Saccharomyces cerevisiae S288C: one gene and its partners. Changing the gene in region 1 together with any one later gene gives a genetic interaction. Each region holds a gene or a part of one and is shown in the gene's direction. Other genes may lie near its edges.

What was found.
Region 2: mutations in SPE2 (region 1) and YIR016W together harm fitness more than expected from each alone (negative genetic interaction), as found in Saccharomyces cerevisiae (2 studies listed by BioGRID).
Region 3: mutations in SPE2 (region 1) and ETR1 together harm fitness more than expected from each alone (negative genetic interaction), as found in Saccharomyces cerevisiae (2 studies listed by BioGRID).
Region 4: mutations in SPE2 (region 1) and RLI1 together harm fitness more than expected from each alone (negative genetic interaction), as found in Saccharomyces cerevisiae (2 studies listed by BioGRID).

Annotation. Positions count from the first base shown.
Region 1 is NC_001147.6:230,342-235,536, reverse strand, and holds SPE2 (adenosylmethionine decarboxylase SPE2), read left to right. Parts: upstream 1-1,900; coding exon 1,901-3,091; downstream 3,092-5,195. Other genes in the region: GAL11 (Gal11p), read right to left, coding at 1-597; DDR2 (Ddr2p), read left to right, coding at 3,782-3,967; AIM39 (Aim39p), read right to left, coding at 4,265-5,195.
Region 2 is NC_001141.2:380,816-385,529, forward strand, and holds YIR016W (uncharacterized protein), read left to right. Parts: upstream 1-1,812; coding exon 1,813-2,610; downstream 2,611-4,714. Other genes in the region: VLD1 (Vld1p), read left to right, coding at 271-999; ribonuclease P protein subunit RPR2, read left to right, coding at 1,133-1,567; MET28 (Met28p), read right to left, coding at 2,741-3,304; YAP5 (Yap5p), read left to right, coding at 3,794-4,531.
Region 3 is NC_001134.8:291,343-296,182, reverse strand, and holds ETR1 (enoyl-[acyl-carrier-protein] reductase), read left to right. Parts: upstream 1-2,163; coding exon 2,164-3,306; downstream 3,307-4,840. Other genes in the region: putative protein kinase YPK3, read left to right, coding at 181-1,758; YBR027C (uncharacterized protein), read left to right, coding at 1,827-2,159; OLA1 (Obg-like ATPase), read left to right, coding at 4,318-4,840. UniProt on the Saccharomyces cerevisiae protein: Catalyzes the NADPH-dependent reduction of trans-2-enoyl thioesters in mitochondrial fatty acid synthesis (fatty acid synthesis type II).
Region 4 is NC_001136.10:625,753-631,434, reverse strand, and holds RLI1 (Fe-S cluster-binding ribosome biosynthesis protein), read left to right. Parts: upstream 1-2,900; coding exon 2,901-4,727; downstream 4,728-5,682. Other genes in the region: aminophospholipid-translocating P4-type ATPase DNF2, read right to left, coding at 1-153; E2 ubiquitin-conjugating protein UBC13, read right to left, coding at 830-1,261, 1,530-1,559; ILT1 (Ilt1p), read left to right, coding at 5,437-5,682. UniProt on the Saccharomyces cerevisiae protein: Component of the multifactor complex (MFC) involved in translation initiation. Required for the binding of MFC to the 40S ribosome. Required for the processing and nuclear export of the 60S and 40S ribosomal subunits.

The DNA of each region.
Region 1 (5,195 bases):
GACCTGCTGCCAGGTGTTGATATTGGGTGGAATGTTAGGAATTCTTTGCAGTAATTGTTTGGGAATAGGTGCCACTTTCATCTGGTTCACTAATTGTTGTTGTTGAGGAGTCAATTGACGCCTCTGTTGCTGCTGCTGCTGTTGTTGTTGTTGTTGTTGATTTCTTAATTGTTGCGCAACCTGTTGCCTTGCCTGAGCCTGCTGATTCAAGAACATCTGTGGGTTTAGATTCATATTGACATTCATATTATTGGCGCTGTTGCCAGAATTTTTCAAGTTGTTAATATGGTGCTGTTCCACGGGTTTAATGTTGTTATTAGCGGCAGCAGCAGTAACGGCGTTTTTCCTCGTATTGTACGTGTTGCGCATGACAGCAACTTTTTCGTTCATGCTGTCCATGTATTCTTTCTTTGAAGAGCTCTTTGCGAACAAAGCTGCCTCGAAGTTTTTGGCATGAATTCTTATCTTATCAGCAGTGTCGGAGCTCCCTCCGTTCAGAGTGTTAATGTCCATGAGCACCTGAAGCAACCCGTTGACGTTCTTCGCACGCTCGGCATTGGACAGAGTGTCTTTGTCTTGGACAGGAGCAGCAGACATAGCAGATTTAAAAGAAATAGCGTTTTAATCCTTGATCTTTGAGTACGGCACTATACGAAACGATACGCTTATAAAAATGGGGTTTAACTAACAAAGAAAAATATACCAGCACAAGTATATAGCAATGTCGTGGAAGTACTTCTTTGTGGAACCAGCTGTTTCCAGAGACAAATTCCTAGTCCTTGTGAATGGTTGACTATTAAAAGTTTGACTGTAAAGGTTAAGCACCTTCATCATCCTCATCCATAATATAATTTTCTGATCGACGCAACCGGGGCCGGGGTGGAAGGAAGGCCCGATTCGAAATAAAAAAGAGGCCGCCACAATGTAGGGTAATGCCTAATTATATTAACTAGAGACTGACTGAATCATATTACTTAGTTACTACTACTCTTATCATGCAAGAAGATGTGAAAAAGCGTCTTCCCCCAAATCATATAACTTCTGCACCATCCGTGGACTGTACAGGTTCAGCGGGGGAATATGTAATTGCTTGTTAGGATTGCTCTTGGGACCGTAGTATCGCGACAAGGAAGTCTGTGTAGTTCCACTTGATGTGGGCTGCCTCGCCGCTTCTTTTGCAGTCCCTAACCTTATATAGATGCGCACGCGCCAAAGCATGAGGGTACTCCATCATGTCTGTTGCACAAATATCGTAGGTTACTTGACGCTAACGTCATGTTTGATGCTCCGTTAACGAAGAGAATCGGAGCTCTTCATCTTAATCAGGCTCTTTTATAGCTCAATCATCAGTGGAAAAAATTCTTCGAACTAGAAAAAAATCAAGAAGTGAAAAAACTAAAACCGCCAACTGGCTACCCGGATAAGCCCCATAATGGCGTTCCTAGGGCTAGAAGAATTTCAAATCGATGACAGCTGATAGAAAGCGCCAGAGATATGTAGCCTTCCATCAGTAGTAATATCCAATAAATTGGGCACCATGGTTTGGCAATCAGGCTTTTTACCCTCGCCCTCTTTTCCTTCGCCTTTTACCTCTTCTGCATCCAATTTCAGCGTACGTACACAATGATTGACTTTGGAAATTTTCACTTTTTTCCACTCGAAGAAAAAAAATTCCAAACACGGTTCTCCGGTATTTAGGCATCGAATAAACTTTGCTAATCGACTAAAAGCATCTCTGCATATCTATACGTGTATATATTGTATTCGCTACAGCTCGCTCCTTGCATCAACTCTTTTTTTCTTTTTTTTCTTCCAGGTTAATCAATTACTGTACTGTAGCTTCTTTTTTATATTTTTTAGGTTTTCATATAGTGTCTTACGCAAATAGGCGGACCATAGAATGACTGTCACCATAAAAGAATTGACTAACCACAACTACATTGACCACGAACTATCAGCCACTTTAGACTCAACGGATGCGTTCGAGGGTCCCGAGAAGTTGCTGGAAATCTGGTTCTTCCCTCACAAGAAGTCCATCACGACCGAAAAGACATTAAGAAATATTGGCATGGATAGATGGATCGAGATTTTGAAATTAGTGAAATGCGAAGTTCTTTCCATGAAGAAGACTAAAGAACTGGATGCCTTTTTGTTGAGTGAGTCTTCCCTCTTCGTCTTCGATCACAAATTGACGATGAAGACGTGCGGTACTACAACCACATTGTTCTGTCTCGAAAAGCTTTTCCAGATCGTTGAGCAAGAGTTATCGTGGGCTTTCCGCACAACACAAGGGGGCAAGTACAAACCATTTAAAGTGTTTTATTCTAGACGATGTTTCCTTTTCCCCTGTAAGCAAGCCGCTATCCATCAAAACTGGGCTGACGAAGTCGACTATTTGAACAAATTTTTCGACAATGGTAAAAGTTATTCCGTGGGAAGAAATGACAAGAGCAACCACTGGAACCTGTACGTCACCGAGACGGACCGCTCCACACCTAAGGGAAAGGAGTACATCGAGGATGACGACGAAACTTTCGAAGTACTGATGACGGAGCTGGACCCAGAATGCGCTAGTAAGTTTGTTTGCGGGCCTGAGGCATCCACAACCGCTCTCGTGGAGCCAAACGAAGATAAGGGCCACAACCTCGGCTACCAAATGACTAAAAATACAAGGCTTGACGAAATATATGTCAACTCGGCCCAAGACTCCGATTTATCATTTCACCACGATGCATTTGCGTTCACGCCATGTGGATACTCATCCAATATGATTCTCGCTGAAAAATACTATTACACCCTGCACGTGACTCCGGAAAAGGGTTGGTCTTACGCCTCTTTCGAAAGTAACATACCCGTATTTGACATTTCCCAAGGGAAGCAAGACAACTTGGACGTTCTTCTACATATTCTGAACGTTTTTCAACCAAGAGAGTTCTCGATGACCTTTTTTACCAAAAATTATCAGAACCAATCCTTCCAAAAACTACTAAGCATCAACGAGTCACTGCCCGACTACATCAAGTTAGACAAAATTGTTTATGATCTGGACGACTACCACCTTTTCTATATGAAATTGCAGAAGAAAATATGAAAAGCCGCCATTTGTGTCTCCTCATACTTACATAGAATAGCCCTCTTCTATTATCCTTCGCTTGCTTTCTAGCACTCATAACTAATGTAGTTTAACCCGCTTGTATATCTTCTACATCATTACCCCGCATGCTTTTTTTTTTCCTCTAGAGAAAACCGGCACAGATTGGCCGGACCCGGAACAGGAAAAATGGCCACTGAAAATTCCTGGCCAGACCACCCCTGAGCTAAGGGAGTTTAGCCGCTCAAGCTTTTATTTCCTCTGATGTAATATATCACACACCCAGACACGGTTGCCAAGGCCTCGACGGAAGGCCGCTTCAAGGGACGGGGCAGTGGCTATCAGAAATACCTTAATATCATCAATATTTTTCATCAATCGCAAGGTGTCAAACATCAATAAAGGATGATGCTCAAAGGTTTATGCCCGATGTTCTTCTAATCCCCTTTCTCTCCTAAAATAATCCTTTTTTTACTCTTCTTCTTTTCCCCTGTTTCCATTTTTGTCTTTTCTCACCCCTTATGGGACATCAATAATGCAAGTATGTTTATACATTTTTATATAAATGTATATATAAATGCCATTTCTTACACATAACCTCCATTCTTTGGTTAATTCTTTCTTCATTCTTTTTTTTTTCATTCTGAAAAGCCCTCCAAGCAAGCACGCTAATTTAATATCGATTTAAACATGAAAGTATCACAAGTTTTCATTTCTGCCATCTCTGTCTTCGGCCTCGCTACTAGCGTAAATGCTCAAAACGCATCCAACACCACGAGTAACGCTGCTCCTGCTTTGCACGCTCAAAATGGTCAACTACTAAACGCCGGAGTCGTCGGTGCTGCTGTTGGTGGTGCTTTGGCCTTTTTGATTTAGGAAAAACGCCGCTTACTGCCACGATGATGATACCCTATTGACGTTTCTGAAATGTATAATTTCTTTTCTCATCTTCCCCTTTGATATTCCATCTATAGGCCCCAGAGTAGTAAATTTGGTGCTTTAATTTTTTTTCTCTTCTTCCAGTTCGTCTCTATTTTTTCATTCCATTATATTTATTTATCAGTTTTACTTTCTCAAATATTCTTATATAACACTATTTCATCTACGTAACCGAAAATAAGTAGTTTAATAACGATAATAATCATAATTGTGATAAAAATATTTACATTTTTCTTACTTGTCGCCCGCTTCGTTTTTGTATAGAACGTACTGTATTAGTTGTCCGTTCTTTTCACGTCTGAAGAGGTCGATTTCTTGCAATTTAACATCAACGTGGTATTTTCCATTATATACAATCAAAGAATCATCGTCCAGTTCGATTTCGCCATGAAACCAAAGGTGTAATGCATGTGAGTCCCCCTGCAGTGGGTATTCGTACTTGAACGACCCGTATACCCTCTCCGGCGATATAATCTCAAATAAATCGGCTGTTTCCAAACCAATGCGGTTCAGTAAATCGTCGATGGTTCCCCGTATACTTATTGGCCGATGCGTTATCCTCCATTTGCAAACAAAGGGTATTCTATACCAAGTGTGCGAACTATCCCTTTTATCGTCTGGCTCCATTACAATACCAGTTACACATGGATCTTGATCTTCGCACCACATGCTGAATTCATTTAACGTGGGTGAATTGCCATCTTTATCAAGCAATGGTACTCCGTATTGTTCCTTGATCATGTCATGACCGGATAATATCTCTAAAACCCTTAATTTAGAAAGCTTCTGTACTTGGTTTACGTCAACCTTTTTCAAATCTCTGGTACTCAGTTTACGTATCTTGGATGATGGAAACAATGGTAAGAAACTTTGTTCCTTTAAATATATCACTCTATAGATTAGTGAGTATCCTAATATCACACCGAATATACCACCAAATATGGCGGACCATATTTGCTTTCGGCGCTTGTTTCGCTGATGTGTTATTGCTTGACCAATGCTTCTCAAGTCCTCTCCTTTTATGTTAGGACTGTGTCCCTCTTCAATTTCCCCCAACTTCGTCTGTTGCTGTTGATGTGGCGTCGTAAAAAAATGCTTGCCATCATGGACATGCCTTTTCGACTCTGTCAATGAATTTCTTTTAGTTGTAATGCTTTTATTCAAG
Region 2 (4,714 bases), on another chromosome or scaffold:
TTCATATTGACAATGTCATCGCAATTGAGGAGATAGCCATAATTCGGGAGGGTACAAAACCTGACCTGCTAGTGTTCAACTAATGCATCATGGGTACTATAGAGAGCATTCTAGTGGTAGAAAAAAAAAAAAAAACAAACTTTAAACCGGGTAATATAAACTTCTCATATGGCTTTTCTCCAGGGAAAGAAAGGGAAGGGATACTTCAATGACGAAGGCTTAGATGACAAGCTAATACAGAAAGGGAAAGGAGCAGGGCATCGGAAGGAAATGTTGCATTTGGAAGATGACAATGGACGACAAAGGTCAGTGATAGCGAATTTGCAGAAATTCGTTTATTGCTGCCTGTACTTGAGGTTTATCAAAGATGGATCATTATTCTTGATCCTCCTGGGGTGGATAATTTCATCGCTCTGTGATTTCATTCAGGAATTGACACTCAGGTACCTGAAGAAGAACTATTTAGAGGTGGGCCGCGACAATGATCAGGAAGATGATGAAAGTCTTGCCATCAGAGGGTTAGAAACACCTATTGTAAGAATGATAATAAACAAAGCCATACGATATTACCAAGGCCTAATACTTCTAGAAACAGCGTACTGTATAGTATACCACATTAGGCTAGACGTATCGAGAGACATATGTTCCAAACCGTACGGATTTGTGATAATGCTTTTGATAAGGGAATTTACTTGTCCGGTACCCACAGCGTTTCCTAGCAAGCTACTTCTGGTACTACTCGATATTTTATTACTTTTCTGCCAGATTGTAATAATAAACGGCTCACTGAGCTCGAGTCTTCAGAACGTGAAACTTATTGTCAAGGAGTTGAATGCAGAAGAAGAGGGCGCACTCAACATTCTCAAACTTAATACCTGGCACATGGATGCAACCGGACCGGAACTCATAGTACTCAAGAATCATGACAAGTCGATTCCTCAACAGGCAGACGGGGATGACGCTACAGAGATCACTCCTCTACTGAATATCGCCGAATAAATTCAAGAAAGGAAAAGAAAAAAAATTACCAAAATGAAAAGAACGGAAAAAAAAGATGAACAGAAAATAAAACAATACGTGGTTCTTCTACTGTCCTTCCCACATCGCCGACAGAGAAAAGACAAGCAAAAAGATGGGCAAGAAAGCACACGGAGGAAAGATGAAACCTGAGATCGACGAAAATGGTACTCTGCTAGTACCGCCACCAAGGACGATTGCGAACCAGGACCATTTCCATAGATTAAACTACCTCTACCAAATATCCGCTTACCAAACAAGAGCAAGACAGAAAGCAAGAACAGACGCACATACGCCTTTGGCACGCAATTATATCAAATCAATGGACCTAATTAGTAAGAAAACCAAGACATCACTGCTTCCTACGATAAAGAGAACAATTTGTAAAAAATGCCATCGGTTGTTATGGACCCCAAAAAAACTGGAAATCACATCCGACGGAGCGCTTTCGGTAATGTGTGGGTGCGGTACCGTTAAACGTTTTAATATTGGCGCCGATCCTAATTACAGGACCTACTCGGAGCGGGAGGGTAATCTACTAAATTCTTAGGGTTATTGGTAGGGTTTTGGACCAATGTTTTGAGCAGGACAAAAATGCGGAGTTTCCAGATTTTCTTTAAGAGCCGACCCCCCACCCCCTTGCCCCTATACATGGGGTACGTGCCTGTATTTTGAGGGAAAACTACGACATAAAACACAGGGAAAAAAACGAGACGCCCGTTTGAAGAAGGTAATGTAGGATTCCGTCTTGCCAGCATAGCGGATAAACACCGCAAGGAGGTGTTGTGGTCGGTAATGAGTGGCACGAGGTGTTTGCTAGGCGTCGGACTACCAGTTGATGTGACTGCTACGGAAACTTTGACTCATGATGAACAAGGACCAGGTGTAGAGCCAGGACCGTGTTCGCGAGGAAGTTCTATAGATGGTCTGCTGCCCTCGTTGCTCGGTCCACATGATGATGTGGATGACGATTCGGCGGCTTTTCACAAGTACATGACACTATCGCGAGATGGCGCAGGCGCCATCCATGCTCCGTCATTAGTCGAAGACGCCTCAAGGAACGACGACGACGACGATGATGAAGACGACGACGACAGTTCCATGTCGCGAGACCTATCCAAGGCTCTAGATATGTCATCGTCATCATCGTCCAGCCCGCGCGTTCAAAGTCGGCGGCACCGTAGTTCTGTGAGCGCAATATCTGCAATCTTACACCAAGGAAAATCTGGCCGCGAAGACATAACTGGAAGCCTTAGCGTTCCGGCAGAACAAGAAAAACTCAGTTTTCTTGCCAAAGCCTCGAGTATTTTCTTTCGAAGGAACAGTATGCCCAGAGACAAACATACGCATTCAGTATGTCCCGCTAGCCGCCCAGATTCCGAGAGATTTATCGTCACATCTGCAGCCGCGCAGTCTTTACGCCGCCAACAACAACTGGAAGACGCTCAGTACGCTCGAGTTATTACAAACTTTCGTACTATAGGATGGTGCTCTCCCAGCGAGATAGAGTCTGTGGAATATAAACGGTCCTTGATCAATGCGGAGTGGGACGAAAAGATCTCGCTTTTGTCTCACGCGCAATGCTATAAATAATAAATATACATATATATATATTTATATGTAGATAGATGTGTGTATATATATGCTAGGTAAAGAAACGGAAAAATCGAAAAATCGAAGTTGGAGAGGAAAAACAAGACATCAGGCCCGCACGTTTCGCGGGCTACCTGCCCATGTTCCGTCTCTTAATGTCATTCAACAATTTCAAAGACTTAATCTCGTTAATGTCATTGAGCTTTGCTTTCCAAAACTCATTTTCCTTGTTCAATTGCTCTATACGATCGCGAAGTTTGTTGATTTGCGTGTTTAAGTTCTGCAGCTTATTCATGTTCTCAAAATTCTTTTGTTTCTTGCGAATGCGGAACCGCTGCGACGCCTCTGTGTTCTTTCTTCTCCGCTCTTGCTTAATCTTATCCAGTTCGTTAGAAGTGCTCACGGGAGCTTCCTCTTCTTTTACAACAACTGCTGTTGTTGCGGCAACCTTCCCCTTTCTCGGCTCGCGGAGCTTCTTAAACTGCGAGACATCCTGGCCATTATTTATCATGCTAATGAGCTCCTCCGCGTTGCCACTGCTAACCAGCAGCAATGATAGCAAGCGCGAGCCCAGCTCTGAATCGCTTGATATCAGGTTCTGTAGATGTTCCGAAAGATTGTTCACGTTCATACCCTTCCTGCTTGCAATGTCAATGTTTGTTGATTTCTTTTCCCACCCTTGTTTCGCACTCATATTGACGAACAAAACAATTTGTCTTCGTAACTACCACTGGTTATAAATAGTTAAATTCAAGTTACCTCGTGTTCTTAGTCATTGGCTGCCCGGCCTTGACTCACGCCAGTGACCTACAACTATGGCGTTTCCGCTTCCCGCCCAAAACTGTGGTGTTAGAAAGTAGAAAAAGGTGAAAAAAGCGAAACCTAAAACCAAAAAAAAAAAATAAGTCACGTGCACTCAGTACCCCTTCTATTGTATTTTAGTTTACCTATTGGGCCGGGCGGGCCCCACAACTGTGGCATCTTTCAGATCATTTTTTTCCAGAATGCATGGAACTGACGAGTGAACTTTTATTCCACGGAAAAGGACAAAAAGGTGCAGTAATGGAATGGTCTTTTTGCACGGCAGTGATGTCGCTATCATATCAATCACTGAAAGTGAAGTTAACCATATTACAACAAGTTCACACAACATAAACAGTGTAACTAGCATATTATCACAGTCATGGCTCTACCTCTGATAAAACCTAAGGAGTCTGAGGAAAGCCACCTCGCTCTTTTGTCCAAGATCCACGTGTCCAAAAATTGGAAACTGCCTCCAAGGTTGCCCCATAGAGCAGCTCAGCGGAGGAAAAGAGTTCATCGACTTCACGAAGATTACGAAACTGAAGAAAATGATGAGGAGCTACAGAAGAAAAAACGGCAGAATAGAGACGCCCAAAGGGCCTACAGAGAACGCAAAAACAACAAGTTGCAAGTGCTGGAGGAAACCATAGAGTCACTGAGTAAGGTCGTTAAAAACTACGAAACGAAACTAAACCGCCTCCAAAATGAACTTCAAGCGAAAGAATCGGAAAATCATGCCCTTAAACAGAAATTGGAGACCCTTACTCTGAAACAAGCCTCTGTGCCTGCTCAGGACCCTATCCTGCAGAATTTGATCGAGAATTTCAAACCAATGAAGGCGATACCTATTAAGTACAATACCGCTATCAAGCGCCACCAGCACTCGACAGAACTGCCTAGCTCTGTCAAATGCGGCTTTTGTAACGACAACACTACTTGCGTTTGTAAAGAACTGGAAACAGATCACCGTAAAAGTGACGACGGTGTGGCCACAGAACAGAAGGATATGTCGATGCCACATGCAGAGTGCAATAATAAAGATAACCCCAATGGGCTCTGTAGTAATTGTACTAATATCGACAAATCATGTATCGACATCCGGTCCATCATCCACTGAAGAGAGAGAACTTCTTAATACTTATAAATACGTCATTGAACAGCTCAACTTTTGTAACGTCAAAAGAACGCACATGAAAGGAGTGACATTGCTTTTTTCTTTGCAAGTTTATTACTGTGGTTATGTGTAAAGAATTAGTTCATGGACATTGGCCGCAGAGTGCAAAAGCGTTTTGGACACCCC
Region 3 (4,840 bases), on another chromosome or scaffold:
GCTCTGTCATGTTACTTCTAAAATATTGAGAGGAGAAAAAAAAAAAAAAAAAAAAAATTATAAACAAATGAAAAAAGGACGTACTGACTAATAGTAAGTAGATCTTTTACCTGGAAGGTGCCCTATGATAAGATTTTTCATCAACCAATCTAGCTGAGCATACTGTTGGCAGTAATTAGGATGATTTTCTCACTAGATGAAGAACTTCATCGTGTGTCACTAGATGATAAAAAGAATGACATTAAAGTAGATTATTCCTCGGCAATATACAATGATATCAATCATGAACAAGGCAGCTCCATCACATATGAGGAGAGTATAAATCACCTCTCGGTTCATTCAAATGCGATTCCGCTAAATGGCATGAGTCCTGCACATAGGATGAGAAGAAGGTCCTCAGCTTATTCCAAATTCCCTATTCTCACTCCACCAAATACGAGAAGATTTTCTATTACAGGTTCGGACGCAATGCGAACTAATACGAATAGACTATCCATAACACCTCAGGACATTATTTCCTCTAATATTGGAGAAAATGAATTATCAAGGAACCTGCACGATTTTAAGCCCGTGAGAGTCCTAGGCCAAGGTGCCTACGGTAAAGTTCTTCTTGTTAAGGACGTCAATACATCCAAGCTGTATGCTATGAAGCAATTACGGAAAGCAGAAATTTTAATTTCTCAAACAGCCACAGATTCCAAGAGAGAAGACGAAGATAAAAATGATGGTAATAACAACGATAATGACGATGGATTATCAAAGAGGCTTGAGAGAACATTTGCCGAACGGTCTATTCTATCTGAAATAGAACATCCAAACATTGTCAAGTTATTTTATTCTTTTCACGATAACTCAAAGTTATATTTACTGCTACAATATATCCCTGGCGGTGAACTATTTTACCACTTGAAGGAACACGGGACCCTAGATGAGACGACAGTTTCGTTTTACGCGGCAGAAATCAGCTGTGCCTTGAGATTTTTGCATACGAAAGGTGTTGTCTATAGAGATTTAAAACCTGAAAACTGTTTATTGAATCAACGTGGACATTTAGTATTGACAGATTTTGGTCTGAGTAAAAAAAGTGCTAATGATTCCGCGGTTGATGAGGAGGATCCAGAGAACGTCAATGCCCTATACTCGATTATCGGTACGCCTGAATACTGTGCGCCTGAAATATTATTAGGTAAAGCTTACAGTCAGAATTGTGATTGGTATTCTTTGGGATGTCTGTTGTATGACATGTTAGTAGGTAAGCCTCCATATACTGGTAGCAATCATAAGGTGATCATTAATAAGATTCAACAAAACAAGCAAGGCCCCAAAATTCCATTTTATCTGAGCGAGGGAATGAAAGATATATTAAACGCGCTGTTGAAGAAGGAAACTGCCAAAAGGTGGAATGTTGACAAATACTGGGCCAAAACCGGGGCTAATAATAAGCCTACTAAGTCTAAGAAGAAGAAATCAGGGGCTGCAAGAACTAGTCTTTTCACTGAACATTTTATCTTTAGAAAAATAGACTGGAAGTTATTAGAATCTGGACAATTGCAAAAAACCACTCTAGGCCCAATTGTTCCAGTTATTACGGATTTGGAACTAGCGGAAAATTTTGACACAGAATTTACTTCTATGTCATATGAGGAAACCTATACGGATAGCAAGCCGATTAATATCAATTCGGTGAGCAAGTCCCCGGATATGTTCAAGGGATTTAGTTATAAAGCAAGTGGTAGCTATTTGGAGAAGTACTTTTGAATTAAAAGTTAGATAGATTAAGAGAGAAGGCTCGGATCTGCACTGACTTACTTTTTTTTGTTTTTTTGATGTTTAAAGGATCTGTGTCACTGTATATACTTTGTTTTGCTTTAGGGTTACGAAACACATTTTTAATATATAATGTATGTAATAATATTAAAAACAACTGTATGGATAATACTTCTGGACCAATCGGTGATACCATCTTCCTTATTTATGGTATTATTATCATTATTGGACCCCGCCGGTGCTTTTTTTTTTACCTTAAAAGAGTGGTTCTCCTCCAAGGGACGCACGAGTGGTGTACCCAGGGGTTGTTTCCATGGCTAAAGAAATTGGAGATTACAAACGTACATTGTCATTTAAGAAGGTTCATAATCTGCCAATTACATTTGATATAACAAGATGCTTCCCACATTCAAACGTTACATGTCGTCCTCAGCTCATCAGATTCCCAAGCACTTCAAATCGCTCATCTATTCAACTCATGAAGTTGAGGATTGTACCAAGGTTTTGTCAGTGAAAAATTATACGCCTAAACAAGACTTATCTCAATCAATTGTGTTAAAAACTTTGGCCTTTCCCATAAACCCTTCGGATATCAATCAGTTGCAAGGAGTATACCCGTCTCGTCCAGAAAAGACATACGATTACTCCACAGATGAGCCAGCCGCTATCGCCGGTAATGAGGGTGTCTTTGAAGTTGTTTCTTTACCTTCGGGAAGTTCCAAGGGAGATTTGAAATTGGGTGACCGAGTTATCCCATTGCAGGCAAATCAAGGGACTTGGTCCAATTATAGAGTTTTCTCTAGTAGTTCTGATTTAATCAAGGTAAATGATTTGGATCTGTTTTCTGCGGCAACTGTATCTGTTAATGGTTGTACCGGTTTCCAATTAGTATCAGACTATATCGACTGGAACAGTAACGGTAATGAATGGATTATCCAAAATGCCGGTACATCTAGTGTATCAAAAATAGTTACGCAAGTAGCAAAAGCTAAAGGGATCAAAACATTAAGTGTTATACGTGACCGTGATAATTTTGATGAGGTAGCAAAAGTTTTGGAGGATAAGTATGGTGCTACGAAGGTTATTTCCGAATCGCAAAACAACGACAAGACTTTTGCCAAAGAAGTATTGTCCAAGATTTTGGGTGAAAATGCAAGGGTGAGGCTTGCCTTGAATTCTGTTGGAGGTAAATCCAGTGCATCAATAGCACGTAAGTTGGAAAATAATGCTTTGATGCTCACTTATGGAGGAATGTCAAAACAACCTGTAACTTTACCAACATCTCTACACATTTTCAAAGGCTTGACATCCAAAGGGTACTGGGTGACTGAAAAGAACAAAAAAAACCCCCAAAGCAAGATTGACACCATCAGTGATTTTATCAAAATGTATAATTATGGTCACATTATTTCACCAAGAGATGAAATTGAAACTCTTACCTGGAATACTAACACTACTACTGACGAACAGTTACTAGAACTAGTCAAAAAAGGTATAACTGGGAAGGGGAAGAAAAAAATGGTTGTTTTAGAATGGTAAGGGCCTTAGCATTGCTCAGAGTTAGACAACCACCAAAGATAGTATTCCTCTTTATGACATCGAGTATAGTTGCTATATAATATATACCAAGACATTAAAAAATATATGCCAGTGCTATCTTTGTAGGAGCTAATAAAAGGGGACGTCGACCCTTCAATGTATATATCGATCCTTTCACATTAGTCAGGACGAGATAATGAGCATGATGTATAAACAAACGGTAGTTAATACCAACGATAAGTTATACAACTACTGTACAATAAAAAAACATCACAATAGCAATACAGGAGTCCTATTCGCTACTTCAACTTGACAAGATCTACTAGATATAGAAATATCTAGCTTAATCAACAATTTTCCTCACTGATTGCTTCCTCCGAATGCCATTATTGGCTTTCTTGGTTCTTAAGCATGATATTACGTATAAATAGCCATTATATCAATTAGAACAAAAGATTACGTAAATGCAATTTTTCCTGAGAATGGCGTTCGAAGAAGGGCGCGTAACTCGTAGAAACCTAAGAATTCTCGTAGAGCGAAGTCTTCGGTAGGAAACGTAGTAGATTTGCAGAAGATACGCCTGTTAAACTGAAGAAAACAAATCTGAGTAGTTTCCCTTCTTTGGAGTTGAGCTTTACAACAAGTTCATATTGTTGGTGCCAATTTGCCTTGAGACAACTAAGGCAGAATGCAGTTGTTGCGTGTTACTTAATTCTCCGTATTGAATGACCACGCACAATTCCTAATTTTTTTTTTTTCTCGAAAATTCTTTTTTTTTTCACTGAAAAAATTTTTTCAAGGGCCATCCCAGCGATTTTATGACCCAAAAGGAAGGATGCAGTGAAAGTCAACTTACGTCTTCTCTCTCATACCTTTCGTTGCGAGAAATCGTATTTAGTAGTGTATTCAGTTGATAATTAGTACTAATTTTTTATTGCATTTTGCCTTTTTTAGCTTTTTGTGTTACTTCTAGTATCCGTAAAAACAATCAAATAAATAGCACTGTAAAACATGCCTCCAAAGAAGCAAGTCGAAGAAAAAAAGGTCTTATTGGGTCGTCCAGGTAATAACTTGAAAGCCGGTATTGTCGGTTTGGCCAATGTTGGTAAGTCTACCTTTTTCCAAGCCATCACTAGATGTCCATTGGGTAACCCAGCTAACTATCCATTCGCTACCATTGATCCAGAAGAAGCCCGTGTTATTGTCCCATCTCCAAGATTTGATAAGTTGTGTGAAATCTACAAGAAGACAGCTTCGGAAGTTCCAGCTCATTTGACCGTTTACGATATTGCTGGTTTGACTAAGGGTGCCTCTGCTGGTGAAGGTTTGGGTAATGCTTTCTTGTCTCACATCAGATCAGTCGATTCTATCTACCAAGTCGTTCGTTGTTTCGATGATGCTGAAATTATCCACGTTGAGGGTGACGTTGATCCAGTTCGTGATTTAGAAATTATTAACCAAGAACTAAGATTGAAAGATATTGAATTCGCACAAAAGGCTTTGGAAGGTGCTGAAAAGATTGCCAAAAGAGGTG
Region 4 (5,682 bases), on another chromosome or scaffold:
CGCTACTTCAATATTTCCATGCGCACTACTGGGTTTTTCAAATTGAAAACTATCGTCAAATGGTGACATGGACGACAGACCATTAGATGCTGATCCCGATTCATGCTCAATATCATCCACGAAGGGAGAAGTGGGTTTGGAGGGACTTGACATATATGTGTTGAGTTTATGCTATGATTCTTTTTAAAGAATTCTATTATTAAAAGGATTAGGAAAAAAGGAACAAAGTACGAACAATGTGAAAGCAAATAGAAAAAGAAACGGATGGTTTTTTAAACTCTCTCAACGCTCTTGCGTTTAATCAACTCTTTTGATTAATTTGTTTCACCTGAGACTCTGTCACAGCAGAAAGAAGCAGCGAAAGTAATACTAAGAGGTAAACCACCGAGTAAGCGATGAATCTGGTTTGTCTATTGTCTGTCTCTATGCAATAGCAGGTAAGATCAACAAAAGCGATAATAACAAGAAATACATTAAAAACTTTATGATCCGGAATTAAACGTGGACCCTCGAGCGGACTAATGCTTACATTAGTGTAGGACGGTCGATCCCGGCTTCCATGGAACGGTTGAAAAATTTGGTGCGAAAAAAAAAAAAAAAACGAACAGGGTAGGAAAAAGTAAACTAAAACGCGTCTAGTAAAAATCTGGCGTAAAACTAAAGGTAGAGAAAACCATTTTAGCGACGCTACATTTTTGAGAAATGCGCCTCTTTAGATGACCATCTATGGTTTTTGCATTTATCGTAAATTTTTTTTTTTTTGCAGCAGCAGCAGCATAGTAATGATATATATTTATATATTCAGTTGAGAAAACTTATACAGAAATGATCACTCGGGTTTCTTCTTTGCATACAATTTCGTCCATTCGCGAGCCTTAGCTTTGGCACCTTGCTCATTCTTTATCCAATCTTCAGCGACGTCATTAGCTAGCGGATCATTAGGATTAGGGCTAGCCAACAGTGCTTGAATGGACAGCAGGACGGTTCTGATCTGTAAAGCGGGTGACCAATTAGTTTTAAGCACATCAAGACATATACGGCCCAACCTATCAATATTGGGATGATATATCTTGGTTAAAAAACGTACTTTCGGTGCTTCCATTGGATAGTCGTCAGGCAGATATAATTCTAATTCGAAAATACCGTCTTCATATGGTGACTGTTCTGGGCCTTCGATTGTTACTTGGAAGTAACGTAAGTTGTCGTCATGTGGTTCTGCTGTAATGCCAGGTACTGGGTCACTTACTAATTTCTCAGTTTCCTATATGAAAGTTCACAAAGACTTTGCGTTTTCTGCCCTAGTAGTTTGTTCTGTTGAATTCCCTCCATATGAGCGTTTGCGGATATGGACAAAGGGAAGGCGGAACGCTGCTACAAACTGGACAAAAAAAGCCTTCTTGTTTTGGAAGTTTTGCGTTAGTATGTAAGTTCTAGCCATTATCAAGAGGAAACAGTGTAGAGTGTGACGGCTCAGACGAAAACGTCACTTCAGATTTCGTATATAATCCACTGCTCTTGTTTGAACATACCTTGATTATTCTCTTGGGTAATGATGCCATTTCTAACTATGTTACAATGAACCTGACCTTATTTGCTAATATTGGAAAAAAAAAGAACAGAAGAGTGTAAAGTACTATTCTCTATAGAGGTGTTTTGGTTCGTGGTGGCGCGCCATCTTTCAATGAATCACTTATCCTTTGTTTTAAAAACACCATAATTTCGGGTAACAATACGGATGCGGCATAATTAACTGAACTATTCTCTTTGATGGTTTAAAGGAAAACAAATTCCTGTTAGATGCCCATTATATTTGTTCACATGTAGAGAAGGCAAAGAAAAAACTGCTTATTGTACTTTGGTAATTTTTTAAATGATATTTAAAACGTTAGTATTTTCTGTTCCCGCGGCTCCCGCAGAATCTAATCATTAAGCTTGACTAGTATCAAGCTTTTTTCCTTCTTGTTCTGCATTCAAGTATTTGTTGGTAGTATTTCTAGACATCGAAAAGCTTTTTTAGCCCAGAAAAAAAGAGATGAAACGCTTAAATATCTCAAAATTAACATGAATTTATATTCTGTAAAAAAAGTATCGTCGCAAAATGAGAAATTAATGTTTAGCGATCTAATAGTGATCTTGAATATTTGACTACTTTGTTTGGATAACTTTTTCAGCATTGTCAGCATGCCCAAGAATAACGATTATTTTGCATCCAGATAAATGCTTCCAAGAACCTTTACTAGTTTTGTTTCTTGGTTTTTTATCGTCTAAATAAAAAAAGACGTCCTTGTTAAATTTCTCCCCAGTTGAAAAAAAATGTCTTGTGGCCTATCATGGTTTACTACAAACTGAATTGGAAAAGGATTTTCCTAATAGTTTGATGTCATGTAAAACGCCCTCGTATCTGCAACGGAAATACACAAATAAAGAAATATCAAATTAGCCGCCGACGTGTCATTTTCGTCGTTGTTGATGATCAAATTATCACAGTAAAAAATAGTACGGAATAGCGTACTTGAAAGGAGCATCGTTTAAAACACCGCGGAGGATAAGAAAGAGCCGGTCATTAGCATCCTACCCTTCACATAGTAAAGACTGAACATGACTATACGCTGCTTCAGTCACCTGTTCATAAGCAAATACCATGGATAGAAAAACAATCTCTTGTTACTCGTGTGCATCGAACCAGATTTCTAGCCGGGTAGTTTTGCAACTGAAAAAATTTTCTATTTTTTTTCTCAATCGCATCGCTCGCTAGCAAAGTGAAAGTGAAAAAAAAAAAATGTAAAACTGGGCATTAACCTTTATTGTTTCTGTATTCTTAGATCTTCATTGTGATCTGTTTCAGCGCGAATTCCACCTAGCCTTCTGCAAAAGTTCTTAAGAAAACACGACAGACCATAATGAGTGATAAAAACAGTCGTATCGCTATCGTTAGCGCTGATAAATGTAAACCAAAAAAGTGTCGTCAAGAGTGTAAACGTTCGTGTCCCGTTGTGAAAACTGGTAAATTATGTATTGAAGTCACTCCAACTTCAAAAATCGCATTCATTTCCGAAATCTTGTGTATTGGTTGTGGTATTTGCGTTAAGAAATGTCCATTTGATGCTATTCAAATTATCAATTTGCCAACTAATTTAGAAGCCCATGTAACTCACCGTTACTCTGCCAATAGTTTCAAACTGCACAGATTGCCAACACCAAGACCGGGTCAAGTCCTTGGTTTAGTCGGTACCAACGGTATTGGTAAGTCTACCGCCTTGAAAATCTTAGCCGGTAAACAAAAACCTAATTTAGGTCGTTTTGATGATCCTCCTGAATGGCAGGAAATTATTAAATATTTCCGTGGTTCTGAATTACAAAATTACTTCACCAAGATGCTGGAAGATGATATCAAGGCTATAATCAAACCTCAATATGTTGATAACATTCCTCGTGCTATTAAAGGTCCGGTTCAAAAAGTTGGCGAACTTTTGAAATTGAGAATGGAAAAAAGTCCTGAAGATGTGAAACGCTACATCAAAATTTTACAGTTGGAAAACGTTTTGAAAAGAGATATTGAAAAGTTATCTGGTGGTGAACTGCAAAGATTTGCCATTGGTATGTCATGTGTTCAAGAGGCTGATGTTTATATGTTCGATGAACCTTCATCTTATTTGGATGTTAAGCAACGTTTGAATGCCGCTCAAATTATTAGATCTTTACTAGCTCCAACTAAATACGTTATTTGTGTTGAGCACGATTTGTCAGTTTTGGATTATCTTTCCGATTTCGTTTGTATCATATATGGTGTTCCATCTGTTTACGGTGTTGTTACATTACCAGCCTCTGTCAGAGAAGGTATCAACATATTCTTGGACGGTCATATTCCTGCTGAAAACCTGAGATTCAGAACTGAAGCTTTACAATTTAGAATAGCTGATGCTACCGAAGACTTGCAGAATGACTCTGCTAGTCGCGCCTTCTCTTACCCAAGTTTGAAGAAAACTCAAGGTGATTTTGTTTTGAATGTTGAAGAAGGTGAATTCTCCGATTCCGAAATCCTTGTTATGATGGGTGAAAACGGTACCGGTAAGACCACTTTGATCAAATTACTAGCTGGTGCTTTGAAGCCAGATGAAGGACAAGATATTCCAAAATTGAATGTTTCTATGAAACCACAAAAAATTGCACCAAAGTTCCCAGGTACTGTCAGACAATTGTTTTTCAAGAAAATTAGAGGACAATTCCTAAATCCACAGTTTCAGACTGATGTCGTTAAACCTTTAAGGATTGACGATATTATTGATCAAGAAGTCCAACATTTGTCTGGTGGTGAATTACAAAGAGTCGCCATCGTCTTGGCATTGGGTATCCCAGCAGACATATACTTGATTGATGAGCCATCTGCCTACTTAGATTCCGAACAACGTATTATCTGTTCTAAAGTTATCAGAAGATTCATCTTACATAATAAGAAAACTGCGTTTATTGTCGAGCACGATTTCATCATGGCTACTTATCTTGCTGATAAGGTCATTGTTTTTGAAGGTATTCCTTCCAAGAATGCTCACGCAAGAGCCCCTGAATCTTTGTTGACTGGTTGTAACAGATTTTTGAAGAATTTGAATGTCACCTTCAGAAGGGATCCAAACTCCTTCAGACCAAGAATTAATAAGCTAGATTCCCAAATGGATAAAGAACAAAAATCATCAGGAAACTACTTTTTCTTGGATAACACCGGTATTTAAGCATCTTGGGATTCGGAGAACCAAGAGGACGATTGTTTTATTTTTGGGTTTAGAAATGTGGAGAAATAATTAAGAGTTATAATGTTTTTGCAAAACAAAATGAGTATTATATTACATTGAGTTCCTTCCCAAGCATCGGGTTGTTTATTTCTAGATATACGCCAACTAATACATTTCTAACTTCCCACCTTCATTACATCATAACCTGAAAGTGAACAACCTCCTCTTCGGTGATCCGTACTCCAGTTTATTTCATTTTTCTGTAAAGCAACTACACTATATTTATTCTCTATTTATTTTATATACCTATTGTATTTTAATTAATCGTTATTTTGTCCGCACCTTCTTCGTAATCGAATTTACCTTGTAAACGAGTCGTCATGATAAGCATTTGCTGCATTACTGAACGTTTATCTTAGCATGACATTAAAGTCCGTTTGTCTAAAATATCACCCAATTATTTCCGCGGTGTGAGCGCCAGATAAGGTGCTTCGGGTAATATGAGAACGCCGTTTCTTGATAGCATTTTTCAATGACTAGATAGGTAGATTACCTCTGTATCACACTTCTCGTACCAAACGAAACTCATATAAATAATGCTTTCCTTCTGGTGCCTTCTACTTTCCGCTGATCTCTATTTTCAAATTAACCGCTGAAATATAAACTGTGGAATACTATAACATAACATAGATTTAAGAATAAGGTATTCATGATCTCTGAAAAGGCTGCTACCGCTTTAGCTACTATAGCAACAGTTTGCTGGTGTGTCCAGCTAATTCCGCAAATAATATATAATTGGAAAAAAAAGGACTGTACGGGGCTGCCACCACTGATGATGTTCCTCTGGGTTGTTTCCGGAATTCCATTTGCCATATATTTCTGTGTTAGTAAAGGTAATGTCATTTTACAAGTTCAACCACACCTTTTTATGTTCTTCTGTTCTATAAGTTTCGTC